2 linked regions of the Oryctolagus cuniculus genome follow. The protein of the gene in region 1 interacts with the protein of each later gene in a pairwise test. Links are inferred from orthologs where the notes say so. Each region holds a gene or a part of one and is shown in the gene's direction. Other genes may lie near its edges.

Evidence for each region.
Region 2: the proteins of CCNDBP1 (region 1) and CCDC146 interact in binary tests that used the Homo sapiens proteins (3 or more experiments, as listed by UniProt). The two-hybrid records come from large-scale screens. The link is inferred for Oryctolagus cuniculus from reciprocal best matches to the Homo sapiens genes CCNDBP1 and CCDC146.

What each region holds. Positions count from the first base shown.
Region 1 is NC_091443.1:66,132,638-66,140,003, forward strand, and holds the start of CCNDBP1 (cyclin-D1-binding protein 1), read left to right. Parts: upstream 1-3,406; 5' UTR 3,407-3,552; coding exon 3,553-3,661; intron 3,662-3,824; coding exon 3,825-3,884; intron 3,885-4,157; coding exon 4,158-4,237; intron 4,238-6,801; coding exon 6,802-6,883; intron 6,884-7,366. Other genes in the region: TMEM62 (transmembrane protein 62), read left to right, coding at 2,153-2,479. UniProt on the Homo sapiens protein: May negatively regulate cell cycle progression. May act at least in part via inhibition of the cyclin-D1/CDK4 complex, thereby preventing phosphorylation of RB1 and blocking E2F-dependent transcription.
Region 2 is NC_091434.1:141,553,556-141,561,215, forward strand, and holds the start of CCDC146 (coiled-coil domain-containing protein 146), read left to right. Parts: upstream 1-2,598; 5' UTR 2,599-2,859; intron 2,860-7,660. Other genes in the region: protein FAM185A, read right to left, coding at 1,867-2,254. UniProt on the Homo sapiens protein: Essential for sperm flagellum biogenesis and male fertility.

The sequences.
Region 1 (7,366 bases):
CTCCAGACTGTTGCGTGCAGAGCGGCGTTGTAGCTGTCAGTAGGTCTGGGTCCAGTTCCGTTTTCAGTTAGGTAGATGGAGGTTGTCGGTCAGGAACACTTTGTTTAGATTTATTCATTTGATGGGTAGAGTGACATAGAGAGAAACAGGCAGAGACAGACATATCTTCCGTCTGCTGGTTTACTGCCCAAATGCCCACAACAGCCAGAACCCTATTCAATTCTCCCACATGTGTAACAGAAACCCAGGTTCTCTGGGCCATCATCAGCTGCCTCACAGGCTTGTTAGAAGTGCAGAGTAACCAGAACCTAAACAGGGCAGTCTGATAGTGGGATGCAGGCATCCCAAGCAGTGGCTTAGCCCTCTGCCACAATGCCTGCTCCCAGGAGCACCGTAATGCCATGTGGAACTTGAACCTCACCAAAAGGCAAGGCTTTCTCTTTTGTAAATGTTAACATTCATATTTTAATAAATATATCATCCAGGCCCATGATGGCCAAATCTAAATCTCTGACCTAGACATCTTTTCACTTCAAGTGCCTACACAACCAAACGCCATTTCATATCTTCCTTTAGATGTCTAACAGGCACCTCACCTTAATATTATGTCTCTGTTCCTCTGCAGTTTTTTCTTTTCTTTTCTTTTTTAAATTTACTTATTTGAAAATCAAAGTTACACAGAGAGAAAGAGAGGTCTTCCATCCAATGGTTCACTCCCCAGTTGAACGCAACGGCCAGAGCTGCGCCGATCCAAAGCCAGGAGCCAGAAGCTTCTTCTGGGTCTCCCACATGGGTGCAGGAGCCCAAGGACTTGGGCCGACTTTGACTGCTTTCTTAGGCCATAGCAGAGAGCTTGATGGGAAGTGGAGCAGCTGGGTCTCGAACCTGCACCCATATGGGACACCGGTGCTTCAGGCCAGGGTGTTAACCCACTGCGCCACAGCACTGGCCCCCTTCTGCAGTTTTCCACACATGTCTCAATGTGAAACCCTTTAGGAGCAGTGACTGGATCTGGGTCCTGCTGACTGGTCCCATTTTTTCCTGGCTCTTCATGCTCTAGGAGCATTGCCTTACAGAGGCCAAGACTTCTCCCACCTCCAGGCTTTTTTGGTTCCTTATGCCTGGAATGTGCTTCCCTCTGTTGACTCGTTCCTATCCATCAGCCTCACACAACCTAGTTCCCAGTTACCTTCTCATGATCCACTTGTTTCCTTCATTGAACATATCAGAGTCTGTGATTTTATGTACTTTGGGTCTCTAGTCTCCTTGTTAGAATGCTATGATGAGGGCCAGCGCCGCGGCTCAATAGGCTAATCCTCCACCTAGCAGCACCAGCACACCGGGTTCTAGTCCCTGTCAGGGCGCTGGATTCTTTCCCGGTTGCCCCTCTTCCAGGCCAGCTCTCTGCTGTGGCCAGGGAGTGCAGTGGAGGATGGCCCAAGTGCTTGGGCCCTGCACCCCATGGGAGACCAGGATAAGTACCTGGCTCCTGCCTTCGGATCAGCGTGGTGCGCCGGCCGCAGCGCACCAGCCGTGGCGGCCATTGGAGGGTGAACCAACAGCAAAAGCCTGTCTTTCTGTCTCTCACTATCCACTCTGCCTGTCAAAAAAAAAAAAAAAAAAAAAAAAAAAAGAATGCTATGATGGATCTGTTTTGTCTTGTTCACCACTTCGTCCTTAGAGTCTAGCTACATAATAGGTGCTCAGTATGTACTTGTTGAGTAAGTGAATCGTATAAGTTAAAGTTGGATTATAACTCAGATCTTCTAATCTATATTTCAGCATTCATTATGCTGCCTCAAAAAATAAAGATAAATAAAAAATAGAAAAGCACTAATACTCACCTCCCCCCCCCCCATTCTGTTTGTGTGTATATAATTATTCAATTCCAACGTAAAACACTATTAGATACCTACTGTGGATGGAATGCTGTAGTACAGATTGAGGCCTCAACATGAATTGATTCTTTACCTGAACACAGGCAAATACACAACTAGCCACAAGTCAGCTATTGTGTTGTAAGTGAATGTGACCGACACTTAGTGAGACAGCTAACGAAGACAGAAAGCCACCGATTCTTAGGAAGCAGCAATAATGTGTTTGGACTTGAGCCCTGCAAAGGCGGCTAATGGTTGTGTTCTCCTCCCTCCAGCTGGTGTTCTTTAACATCCCCTTGATGGCCTACCTGTGTTGGAGCTTGCTGCAGCGGTGCTTTGGTCACAACTTCAGGTCTCATCTCCATCAAGGAAAACACTTGAAAATCATACCTGTGCACCTACTTATGTTCCTGCTGTACGTCTGGCAGCTTTATTCCTGCTACTGTCTTCACGTGACTCACGGCACTCTAGCTCTTTTATTCTCCCCTCTGCGGACCTGGTTGTCACTGCTGACTCCTCTTCTCGTTCGTTATGTGTGGAAACTGAACTCCACTGAATTTGGAACCTTCATGGTGCATTTTAAAAGCCACCTGAGCTCCTGAGGGCCATGTCTTGCCACTGGCAGCTGGCTGGAAGTCCAGCGTCTGCACCTGTAGCCAGGCCCCCGCTCCAGTAGCAGGTGGAGGGCCAGCACTGGTGTGTGAGCCTCAGGGAGCTGCTGCTCTTTGGACACTTGGATGTTGCAGGGATTATCCACTATTGATTCCTACAGAACAGACTGCAGAAAAGTCTCTAAATAATGACTTGATTCCTTCCTTCCCTGGGGAGGCAAAGGATTGATTTATCTTTGTGAAGAGAAAATCCTAATCTAGGAGCTCCACAGGGCAGGGTCTGGGTGTGTGAGTGGGGGCATCTGAGGCCCCGTGTGTTTTTAAGATTATCCCATGTAAAGCACCTAGTACCGCTGCCTGGAACTCAGCAGCTGTCAAGGGTGCTGTTAGGGGCAGGGAAACTGTGGACTTTGGCCCAACTCTGACTACCATTAAGATATTAGTTCCCAGTCCTGTTTGGCCCCCGGGTTATGAGCTTTTGGCCCTAATTGGGGGTGTTTTCAATTAATTGACTTAATGAATGAATAAATACCATGAGGGCAGGCATTTGGCCTAGTGGTTAAGGCACCAGTTGAAACAGCCCTGGCTGTGCCCCCTCTGGAGTCCAGCTTCTTGATAATGCACACCCTGGGAGTCAGGGAGTGATGGCTCAAATGGTAGGCCCCCTGCCACCCATGTGGAAGACCCGATTGAGTTCCCTGCTGCTGGCTTGTGGGTTTTGGGGAGTGAATCAATGGATGGGAGCATGCTCCCACTGTGTCCCTCTCTGTCCCACTGTCAGCCTCAAATAAATAAATAAAAATTTAAAGCAACAAAAACCATAGTATTTTCTTTAAAAGAAAAAGACCCGGGACGTGAGCATTGCTTTGCTGTCCAGCCTCTGGAAATGGGTGGTGCTTGTTTGGGGAAGGCTTGGCCGGGTCTGGGGGCGTGGCCTCAGGGAGGCGGAAGGGGCGGGGCAAGCGGCTTGTTGCCGGAAACGAGCCTAGTGGGACGACTGCTGCTCTGCGTCTCTGGCAGCGCCTCCGGCTGCCTCGGTCTCCGGGGTCACCCGAGCGACTGCGATGGCGAGCGCAGCTGCACCTGCGGCCGCAGTGCCCACCCTGGTTCCGCCTTTGGAGCAGCTCCGGCACTTGGCGGTGGAGCTGCGACTGCTCCTACCTCGAGTGCGGGGTGAGCTGACACAGGGGGGCGGAATGGCAAGTGCGTTCTTGGGGTGAGGGAGAGGCCAGGCTGGCCGGCGACCGGAGGCGGAGCCCCTGGCCGAGGCCGTGGTTCCGCTTACCTGAGCTTTTCCTTTCGCCACCGTCTGGCCCTCCCATGCCATACCCACAAGTCGGCGAAGCCCGCGGCACCGTCGAGGAGTTTAATCGGGAGACGTTCTGGAGAAGATTCAGTGAGTGCCCCTGGCGCCGGGGCCCCCATCTTTCACCCTCGTCAGCGTCCCCGTCCTTTAACCTCCCGGCCGCCCGTAGGAGGCGACTCCGTCCCCCAGTCGCATCCTCTCTGTGGGAATACCCCACTTTGCCCATCGCTGGCACCAGAAAGGTTGACATGTAAACCACTGACTCTGAGAAGTGTTTTGCTAGGCCTCGGGCGGAGAGGGGACGCACGCAGCTGCTCCGCTTATTAACCTTTTGGCTCTGCCTGCCCCTCTGCCACCCCGCAGATGAGGCGGCTGTGAACGTGTCGAGGGAGGCCACGACTCTGACCACTGCCTTCTCTCGGCTTCCGCTGCCGTCTCCACAGGTGGGCTGCCCTTTCTTGGAGTCCTCGGACTTTCTTTTTACCTTTTACAGTCAGGCCAGGAAATGTGTTTTTCTCGGACGGGATTACAGTTCTTACCTCGCAGGATTGTTGTGAAGTGCGCTTTGGGGCGCGGAATAGGCAGGTCCTCTGACTTTGAATTTGCAGTCCGGCCTAGGTTATTTCCTTTCTGATATCTTTTTAAAGCACTGGTTATTCGCTAGATGTTTTCACCCTGACAGATGAGTAAGTAGGCTCAGAGGCTCAGGTTAACACACATAAGTGATAGAGCTAGAATTTAAATCCACCTGTTGTCTCAGCTACTCCTGTGCCACATAAAACCCTTTTATATTAGTACTTTTCCATTCTATATTTAATCAGTAACTTTTAAATCATACTATAGTAATATAAAATTCAAAAGATATCAAATATAAGTGTGCTAAAATGTTTCTTACCACCCCATTCCTCATTTTTGTCTCCCTTCCTGGTTACTTTTCCATTTTTTTCCTATATAGTGTATTCTATGTGTATATACATTTATGTGTAAATGAGCTGCTTTTTATACAAATAATATGATACTACTTTGTTCTGGACATTCTTTTTTTAAAAATTGGCAACATAGTTTGGAAATCAGTGTGTCTGTTCTTGATGCGCATACACAGTTGCTCAATTCTTTGTCGTGTCTGCACGGTATTCAACAGAGTGAATATTACCATAATTTAACCAATATTCTGTGGACATTTAAACTTCTTCCATCTTGTCAGTATTATAAATCGTGAATTGCATACTACAATCTTTGTATGCCTGTGTACCTCAGTAGAAAAAAAATCCCAGAAGTGAAATTGCTAGAACAGAGAATGTATACATGGATAATAATCCTTTATTGTAAGACTGATGAAAATAAACATATTGGTTGTGAACAGGTATGCCCTATGCTGCTGACTCCATTTTTTCTAGAGCTATATATACTTAATTTGGGCGTGAGGTTATTTCAAAATGACACATTCATTGCTTTCTTTGATTTTCATAGTAGTTTTGGTCTCTTTTCGATCTGTGTATCCAGGTGTCTTGAAATGATATAAATATCTTTTTGCTACATATACCTACAATAAAAACTCTGTTTTCTCTGCATCCTTAGAGATTTTGATGAGTAAGCAAGAATTGAATTGTATAATATCATTTGAAACTGGAGTACTAATATGATCTTTATTTTCTTGTCTGCTGACTCCTTTCAGGTATGATTGGGGTTTACTGCTAAAACTCACAGCAAGTACTGTGAGGAGCCAGCACAGAAATATTTTTCTGTACTTGCTAAGGACTGTAGTTTGCTCATAGATGGGTGAAAAATTAGAATTGGGTTTTATTATATATATATATGTATATTCACAAATATATGTGTTCAAATGTGTGTGTATTTAAATGATAATCACTTTCTAAAATCCCAACACTTCATTCCTACAGATGGTTGACTTGAATGGACTGATATCTTTTATAATTTTATGTGCTTTGATGTTGAAACAATGTCAAATTGCATCTCTCTAAACATTCTCAGTCACTGCACTTACTTCATCCCAAACTGGGAGCAGTTTGCTAACTGGTACCAGTGCGAGCCAATGAGGACAAGGAAGATGAGAGAGCCAGTGACCATTTAGAAGGAAAACAGTCAACACTAAACATGCTAGTTATGTTCACTTAAAGATTGTAATTTTGCTAAAAGAGAGAGCTGGTTAATGATCTAATGCTGGGGGTTGGCAATTTTTTTCTGTGAAGACTCAGTAAAAGGGGCTGGTATTGTAGCATAGTGGGTAAAGCTCCCTCCTGCAGTGCTGGCATTCTATATGGGCACCGGTTGGAAACTCGGCTGCCCCACTTCTGATCCAGCTCCCTGCTAATATGCCTAGGAAAGCAGCAGCAGATGACTGAAGTGTTTGGGCCTCTGCCACCCATGTGAGACACCTGGAGTAAGCTGCTTGCTCCTGCCTACAGACCAGCCAGGTCTGGCCATTGTGGCCATTTGGGAAGTGAACCAGCAGACGGAAGATCTATCCCTCTTTCCCTCTGTCTCTCCCTGTAAAACTCAAATAAATAGATAGATAGACAGACTCAGTAAATATTTTAGACTTTGCAAGCCAACTACTCAACTCTCCTAGTGCCAACACAATATAAGCAATATGTAAACCAGTGAACATAGATGTGTCCTGGTAACATTTATTTACTGGCAACCAGCCTGATTTAGCCTCTGGACCATAGCATGCCACCTTCTGGTCTAAGATATGGTGAGTATCTCAGAACAGATCATGAATATCTTAGGGGATATAGAGTATCAGGAGTAAGTTTTTCCTGTTGTTTCTTAATACTTTATTAAATTGTCTGCCCATTGTCTGATGATCAGCTAACTCCTCACTGGTATAGGTTAAGTATAGCTCAAGGCTCAACTCATAAGAAGACGTTTACGATGCTGTATGCTTGTCTGCTTTCTTCCTTGGTAAATGAATTGACCACATTGATCTAATTTTCTTCTTCTTTTTTTTTTTTTTCCCATTATGGAATTGGTCCTCACCTTGCAGGAAACCCAGGGTTTCTGTGAACAAGTGTGTGCTGTCATCACAGCAGTTATTGCAGTATACTTTTCGCTTCCTAAGGAGCAGGGTAAGCCACTGTGTGGGCATGAATGTTGTGATTTTACATTAGATCTTTGCTAATATGTTGCATGATGTCCTCAGATAGTCCCCTTTCCCCAACTTGAGCATGTAGCGTTCCCTATAAAACACAGGTAAAGATAATTCTGTAATGTCAGTGGCCTCTAAAAACAAGCCATTGTGCTAAGATACACAAGATACCTAAGAAGTGAACTTATCTCCCCTGCTTTGCTTGACTCTTAACACCTGTGGTTCTTGCTGTCTCCTCCTCCAACACATTCTGACCACTACAGATGCTGACTGAGTCTCAGCCCCATTTCCAGGCCCAGGCCATCGCTGCTCTTCTCCACTCATACCACATCAAGCCCCATTTCTAGACTCATTCATGCGTTAAGTGGCCTTCAGCCCTGCCTGTGCATCATGGCTTGATTATAGTGATGCCAAAGTTATAGATGAATACATGTCATGGTTCTTTGTGGTTACTCACAAATGG
Region 2 (7,660 bases), on another chromosome or scaffold:
GGCTAATCCTCCACCTTGCGGCGCCGGCACACCGGGTTCTAGTCCCGGTCGGGGCGCCGGATTCTGTCCCGGTTGCCCCTCTTCCAGGCCAGCTCTCTGCTATGGCCAGGGAGTGCAGTGGAGGATGGCCCAGGTGCTTGGGCCCTGCACCCCATGGGAGACCAGGAAAAGCACCTGGCTCCTGGCTCCTGCCATCGGATCAGCGCGGTGCGCCCGGCTGCAGCGGCGGCCATTGGAGGGTGAACCAACGGCAAAAGGAAGACCTTTCTCTCTCTGTCTCTCTCTCTCACTGTCCACTCTGCCTGTCAAAAAAAAAAAAAAAAACTGTGATTGGCTACCAATTTAATCAACTTCCAGTTTGTACTTGGCAGTTTCTATAATGCCTCATTAACAGCAGTATTTGGGTTGAGATTCAGCTATAGCATATGAAAAGACAATTTTGCCCCACATAATCATGGATGCAACTAAAACTATAAAATGCATTACTCAGCTAAGTAGTGTTAAACAACAGACGGTTTGCTCTAAGGGAGCACCAACAGATATGTTGAGATGGAAACAGATTCTAAAGATAGTGTATCCTCCCTAGGCAAGTAGAAAGTTGAGGCTGGACACTGAGAGGCAGTAATGCCACTCTTACCCATTCACTGAAACAGGCAATAGACAAACTGGAAGTATGAAGAAAATAGTTACGTTGATCAGAGGGCCAGTGGAATAGACACAGAGAAACAGTAAATTAGAAGTGGGGTTCTGGCCCTAAAAAGAGGGGGCAATCAAGAATGAGGCTTGGAATTATTCCCATTTTGGAAATATTCCATTTTCATCTATGCTGTCACAAATTTTACTTATCTCCAACTCAGTACTCAGTTACTGTGTACTACTGGTGAATCTTCCTCCCCAGCCCAGACTGCTAAACTTTGAGGGCAGGGAATGGCATTCATCTAAGCTGGTTAAAAGAATAAGCAATCAAACATTGTGGTTGAGCAGCCTCCAGCCAGTTCAAACTGCAGCCCTGCCACTTTCTATCTAAAAGACAGTAGTAATGTTTGCCGACCAATCCCCACTGGGGTCTAAGTTCCATGAAGCCATGGTTTGTTTTTTTTTTCTATTTGTTCATCCACAATAAATTCTTCTTTAATGTGACTTCCTACATCTCAGTTTCCTTATGTGGAACGGTGACAGTAACAGCATATGCTTTACAGTGCAACTGTAAGGACTGGACATGATTATCTGAGAGATGCTGAATGCTGTTGGGAGGATCATCAGTATCCACCAGGCTCAGGAAGAACGGCAGCTTGGGAGTGCTTCCGGGCCGTGTGTACACAGCGGCTGGGCGCTGGAAACCAAAACATCTGATAGGCCTTATCGCCGTTTCTAAAGCTTCCTGGGCAGACTTCCATTGCTACTCATTAAGAGCTCACTTAGGCTAAAAACTAGGGAGACGTTATCAGCAAGCGGGGTGCCTATCTGAAACCAAGTATGTGGTCCAGGCAATACAGGACACATCCACTAGACAGAGTTGTCGGGGACAAACCCCAAGCTGTGAGCAAGGGGAAAGGGGTGCCGCGTGATAGAACCCCAACCTTGAAAAACAACCCAGTCTGCTAGTGACCAAAAACAGGCGCCACAAATGTATTTGATTTCTACTACTCCAAATCATGTTTCCATTCAACGTATAAAATTTTCTAAGTGGGAGCCTAATTCTTAAACACTACTGGGAAACTCAGAGTGGAACAGAAGGAGTGGTCTGCGGATTAGGTTAGGAAGTCAGGTACAAGGGAGCCGATGAAAAATGCATGCTGGCCCCTTGGAAGAAGTTCGCCCTGCGCGCCCGGGGCCCCAAAGCCGCTTCCACTTCAATTCACTTGCCGAACTTGAGGGGCACGTTCACTTCCACCGACGCCCCGGGGTCGAGGGTGTCGGCCACGATGGCCAGCTCCTCCAGGGCCTCGTCGTACTTGACCCGCAGCCCGGCCAGGCCCTGCGCGCCGCCCTCCGCGCCGCACACGGCCACCAGCACGCGGTCCCCATCCGGGTAGACCAGGGGGTCCAGGGGCCTCACGGCCAGGTGGCAAGGGAGCCGCGCCCGCAGCCGACCGAACGGGCTCACCAGCAGCGTCCACTCCTTCAGAGGCCGGCGCGGGCTCCCACCTGAGCAGTAAGGCCTGGCCTGGCTCGCCCAAGCCCAGAGCCCACCGCCTCCTGCCCACGCTCGGAGCCCGTACAGCGGCAGGTGGCGCAAGCAGACGGCGGACATGGCGCGTCCCCCTCGCGCTCTCTCAGAACGCCTCAGTCACACTTGTCACGGCCAATCGACTTGGCCGCTGGGCCGCCTCTCGTCCAAGAGAAGACGTCTGAGATGGTTTCGCTGAAGCAGTCGCGCAAACTGGCTCGCTTGGCTGCGCGACTTTGAAACCTCAGCCGCAAAACTGAAGCGGCATGTTGGAATTTCAAAACTCAGTGTCAACTCTGACCGGAACTCCCGGCGTACCCCCGCCCCTTTCGCCAAGGCCGACGGGACAAGTAGTTCTCAAGGAGCCAGACGTCAAAGGGTTATGGCGAAGAGAAAACTACAAATCCCAGGAGGCAACGCGCAGAGGCGAAAGGACAGGAAGACTCGGCTGGGAGAGGCGCGCCCGTTGCTTCTAGTCCATTGGCCACTGGAAAGGCGAATCATTTGCATAAAAATCCAAATAGCCAATGGAAAAAGCGGAAGAGGCAAGGTTGGGAAGGCTGTGTGGTTACCTTGGATACCGAGGACGCTACTTGTTTGTATAGGTGGAGTTTTGGCGTGAAACTCAGGAGGTCAAAACCCGAAAGGAAAGCTTGGCGCCTAAATAAGGATCAAGACCGAGGGAAGGGGTAAGAAACCGCCCTTTAAAGATTAGAACAAAGTAGGAGTCCCCTAGCGGTGGAGAATTACTTGGCAAGAGAATAAAGAGCCAGGCTGGTGCTTTTCTGGAAGGAACTCCCTTGGCTGTGTGTGACCTCCAAGGCTTTAGGAGCCCTTTGAGCCCTTTGTGCGGACGAGAATACATCCCGAAGGATTTGTGAGCAGGTCTAGGGAGAGAACGGATGGGAACTTGGCGCACGGTCTACAAAACTGCAGTGTAGAGTACTTTGTTTTTGTTTGGAGGATAGCAGTGATTCCAAGTTACCAAGAAAAATCTGACACAGCAGAACCCTGGGAGCAGCACGGATCTGGCTGACTGCAAGTGGTCCTCAATCTTAGGGTGAAAATGTGTTTTAAAAAAATGCACATGGTGCAGTCTTGGGCTCTGGGGCTCGGATTGTGTCCCTCCCTGGCTCTACCCCTGGTTTATCTGTGTCTTCCGGGCCCGCTGTTCAGTTTTCAAATTTGAAAATTCTTATATTGTATTATCCTATGGGCAGTAAAAATAATGAAGAAGCAAATAATTTAATTTCCTCCTTTTCTGCCTGGTCTATCTCTTTCTGTGCCCCTACCTCATCCTACAACTTATTCTCCAAATTCTTTGGCCAAGACAACAGCCAACAGTGACGTTTGATAAAATCCAAGTGCTGAAACCGAAGGCTTTAAAAGGTTAATCCCTCCGCCAGGTGCACAGCCTAGAATTCCAGCGAGATGCATCGATAAACAGTGTACTAAAGTCCTCAAATTCCATGTCATAGCTTCATTGCTAGCCATTACTGTTTTAAAATCTTCTCGAGTTATCTTTGCTTCTTTTATGTTCTGTTAGTCCTTCTTGGTCAAGGCCACAGCCTACTTCTCCTCTTTTTCCTCCTCCTCCTCTTGGTGAAACCTCGTGATGGGTGCAATCTTTTAGGTTCAGCAAGGGCCCACTGAATGAATACCGATTCAGTCCTTGGCTCTGTGTTTCATGTCATCATAATTGTTCAGACTAATCTTTCAAGCTATCTGTGCTGTATGATCGCTAAGTATATTTAGATTAAATATAAAACCCTTAATAATTCGGCGTATGTGGTAATTTTTCTTTTTCCAAGACAAACTAAATTAATGAAATTGGCAACTGAACCATCATTGTCATCGGGTGTAATCATGATTTTACTATTTTCAAGTATATAATGCTAAATAAAAATGGAATGGAAATGGAGAGAATGATTGACATTAAGATTGATGTGAAACACTAAAAAGTGATTAAAACTTAAGGCAAGTCAAATGAGTATCACGTCTGTCCACCTGTCCGTAGTGACTAATGAACAGTGTGTCTTCTGTGTGTCTGACATTATAGTTTTCAGAACGTGTTCCTGTGCTTCCTCTCACTGTGTCCTCAGAAGTGCTTCCTGCTGAGCAGGCCCATTGTTTATTCTTCTTACATAACAGGTGAGGAAACAGATTTGAAACGTTAAGATTAGGAGATTAGAAGAGTCGACCCCAGGGCTGGCACTGTGGCGGAGCAGGTAAAAAGCTGCCATCTGCAGTGCCGACATCCCATATGGGCACTGGTTCGTATCCTGGCTGCTCTACTTCCTGTCCAGCTCTCTGCTGTGGCCTGGGAAAGCAGTGGAAGATGGCCCAAGTGCTTGGGCCCCTGCACCCATGTGGGAGACGAGGAAGAAGCTCCTGGCTCCCGGCTTTGGATCGGCACAGCTCCAGCCATTGTGGCCAAATGGGGAGTGAACCAGCAGATGGAAGACCTCTCTCTCTCTGCCTCTCCTTCTCTATTTGTGTAACTCTGGCTTTCAAATAAATAAATAAATTTGAAAAAAAAAGTAGACCATTTTCTGACTCTACCAAAAAGTCTCTCTTTAAAAAAAAAAAAAAAACACAAGATTTTATTCATTTATTTGAGAAGTACAGTTACAGACAGAGAGAGGGAGAGGCAGCCAAAAAGGTCTTCCATCTGCTAGTTCACTCCCCAAATGGCTACAATGGTCAGAGCTGGGCCAGTCCGAAGCCAGGAGCCAAGAGCTTCTTCAGGGTCTCCCACGTGGGTGCAGGGCCCAAGGCTTTGGGCCATCTTCTACTGCTTTCCCAGGCCAAAGCAGAGAGCTGGATCAGAAGTGGAGCAGCCATGTGAGATGCTAGCACTGCAGGTGGAGACTTAGCCTACTACTCCACAGCGCCAGCCCCAAGAAAGTCCTTCTACAAATATTTTTCTGACACCTTTGAAGAAAAAAGTTCACCTCCTAGAGATTCAAATATAACTTTTCTTCCTTATCTATATAAATATCTATAGATATTTTTACCTACTCAGGTAAAAGAGTGATTTCCGTAGTCAAAGGCATATCTTTCTGATGGAAGTGTGAGTTAGTGCAATTTAGCAATAGGCATGAAAAGCCTTGAAAATGTGTGATCCAGAGCCCAGCAACTGCACTTATCGGGATGTAAGTATGAAATCAGGAATCTTCGTTGAATCTCATATTATTTATTTATTAAAGATTTATTTATTTATTTGAGAGACAGTTACAGAGAGAGAGGTCTTCCATCCACTGGTTCACTCCCCAAATGGCTGCAATGACCAGCGCTGGGCTAATCCGAAGCCAGGAGCCAGGGGCTTTTTCTGAGTCTCCCACGTGCGTGCAGGAACCCAAGCATTTGGGCCATCTTCTACTGTTTTCCCAGGCCAAGCAGAGAGCTGGATCCGGAGTGGAGCAGCCAGGACTCAAACCAGCCCCGATATGCGATGCCAGCAATGCACCAGCCCCTATAGGACTATTTTAATAGTCAGTAAGCATCAACTGAAGTGCTCTCAAATAAGATGGTAGCACATAAATTAGTATACATCTGGATTAGTATGAAACAATTTAAGAATTGTACTTTGGGGACCGGCGCTGTGGTGCAGCGGGTTAAAGCCCCGGCCTGAAGCACTGGCATCCCATATGGGTACCTGTTCTAGTCCCAGCTGCTCCTCTTCTGATCCAGCTCTCTGCTATGACCTGGGATAGCAATAGAAGATGGCCCAAGTCCTTGGGCCCCTGATCTGCATGGGAGACCCAGAGGAAGCTCCTGGCTCCTGGCTTCGGATCGACGTAGCTCTGGCCGTTGTGGCCAAATAGGGAGTGAACCAGTGGATGGAAGACCTCTCTCTCTCTGCCTCTCCTTCTCTCTCTTATAACTCTGACTTTCAAATAAATAAATCTTAAAAAAAAAAAAAAAAAAAAACCTGAGTCAGCCTGACAGGCACCAAGACAATCACGCTGGAGTGGTAAAAAAGAGTGAGTATTTGTTGGAAGGCACAGAGAAAGGACCCTGGGAGCTAGCATTTAACTCTTGGGCTCCCAGAGGGGCTGGGGGTAAAAGTTATTACAGACTGAAGCTGGGATTGGGAGGTGCATGTTTAGCTCACGTCCAGGGCTGTGGTTGGTCTACAGTGCTTGGCCCTCCTTTGATTGGCCAAGGACATTGTGTTCTTTTGGCACTCTTGATAATGGTAAAGTGGGCTCCTGTCAATCAGGTTGGGGCTTAGAGACTGGGGCTCCTTCTGGAAAAACCCCCAAAGACGAGGCCTAACAACAGGCTGTTCTGTGCAGGAGCAATAAGTGGCCTTGTGAGTCTGGTGAGCAGGGACCCTGTAGGGCTGATGGCACAGCTTCCTCAATTCAGTGAATTAAACTTAGTGAGAGGGTGATTTAGGAAAGAAACTGAGCTAAGGGAGGGAGATGGAGAAGCCGAGGGTTATTAGGGCTTGATAGTGTCTAGCATCTGAATCAAAGGCCTTGTAGAAGGGCTCAATTTCAAACATAAATCATAATAAGAAAAAAAGTTGGTAAGTCTTTCCTAGCATACGTTGTTTCATGAGACTGACTCAAATAATGAACCGGGTGGAAGATTCCAGTATTTTATTTAATGATTTGTGTAATAATGTTCATGGACAGCAGAGGGCGTGAGAGAGTTTTCAGAAGAAAATGGAACTGAAACAAAGGCGTCGTTAATTCACCTTAAGTGAGGAAAGCTGTAGAATTTGTTAACTTCGTAAAGAGAAACGCGTCTTATGACACCTATTCGTATGATCTATTAATAAAGGCAGTAACCTAAACTAGTAACTAACGGTGCTATGGAGTATTTAGTGAATACGTAGGTAGTCCCATTTGAAGTCTGTATGCCAATCTTCAGAGACCGTTTAACTTCCCTCTTCCTGGTCTGTATGGCTTGTATTTCCGCTTTAGTGTTGTTGCACTGGCCCATCCCCTGCACTGCAGTACTTAGTGGAGCAGTGTCTTAGTCACCATTCTATGGGGGAAAGCACTTGGTATTTTACTTTAAAGTTAGTTGCTAATTTTTCACAGGTGCCTTTTATTACTAGGGTCATTTCTAGTTGCATTTTGTCCATTGCTTTTTTTCTGTTATCTATTGAGATGATCGTAGAACTTTTCTTCTTTAATTTATTAGCATGGTGTATTACAACGATTGATTTTCAAATGTTAAAGCACATTTCATTGCCTTACATTATAATGTATATTATATATATCCCTTATAGTAACTTTTCTATTTATTGCTAGATTCAATTTGCTAATATTTGGTGAAGATTTTTCATTTTACATTCATGAGCAATGTTATGCTAAAGTTTTCTTTTATGCCTTTTTCTGATTTTTGGTATCAGGGTAAAATTAGGGGGCAGTGTTTATCTTCTGGAAGGCTTGTAGAGAATTGGTGTTGCGGTCTGGTTTTATTTATCCTCCTCAAACGTTAATGTGCTTTATCTGAAGTCTTCAGTCTGTA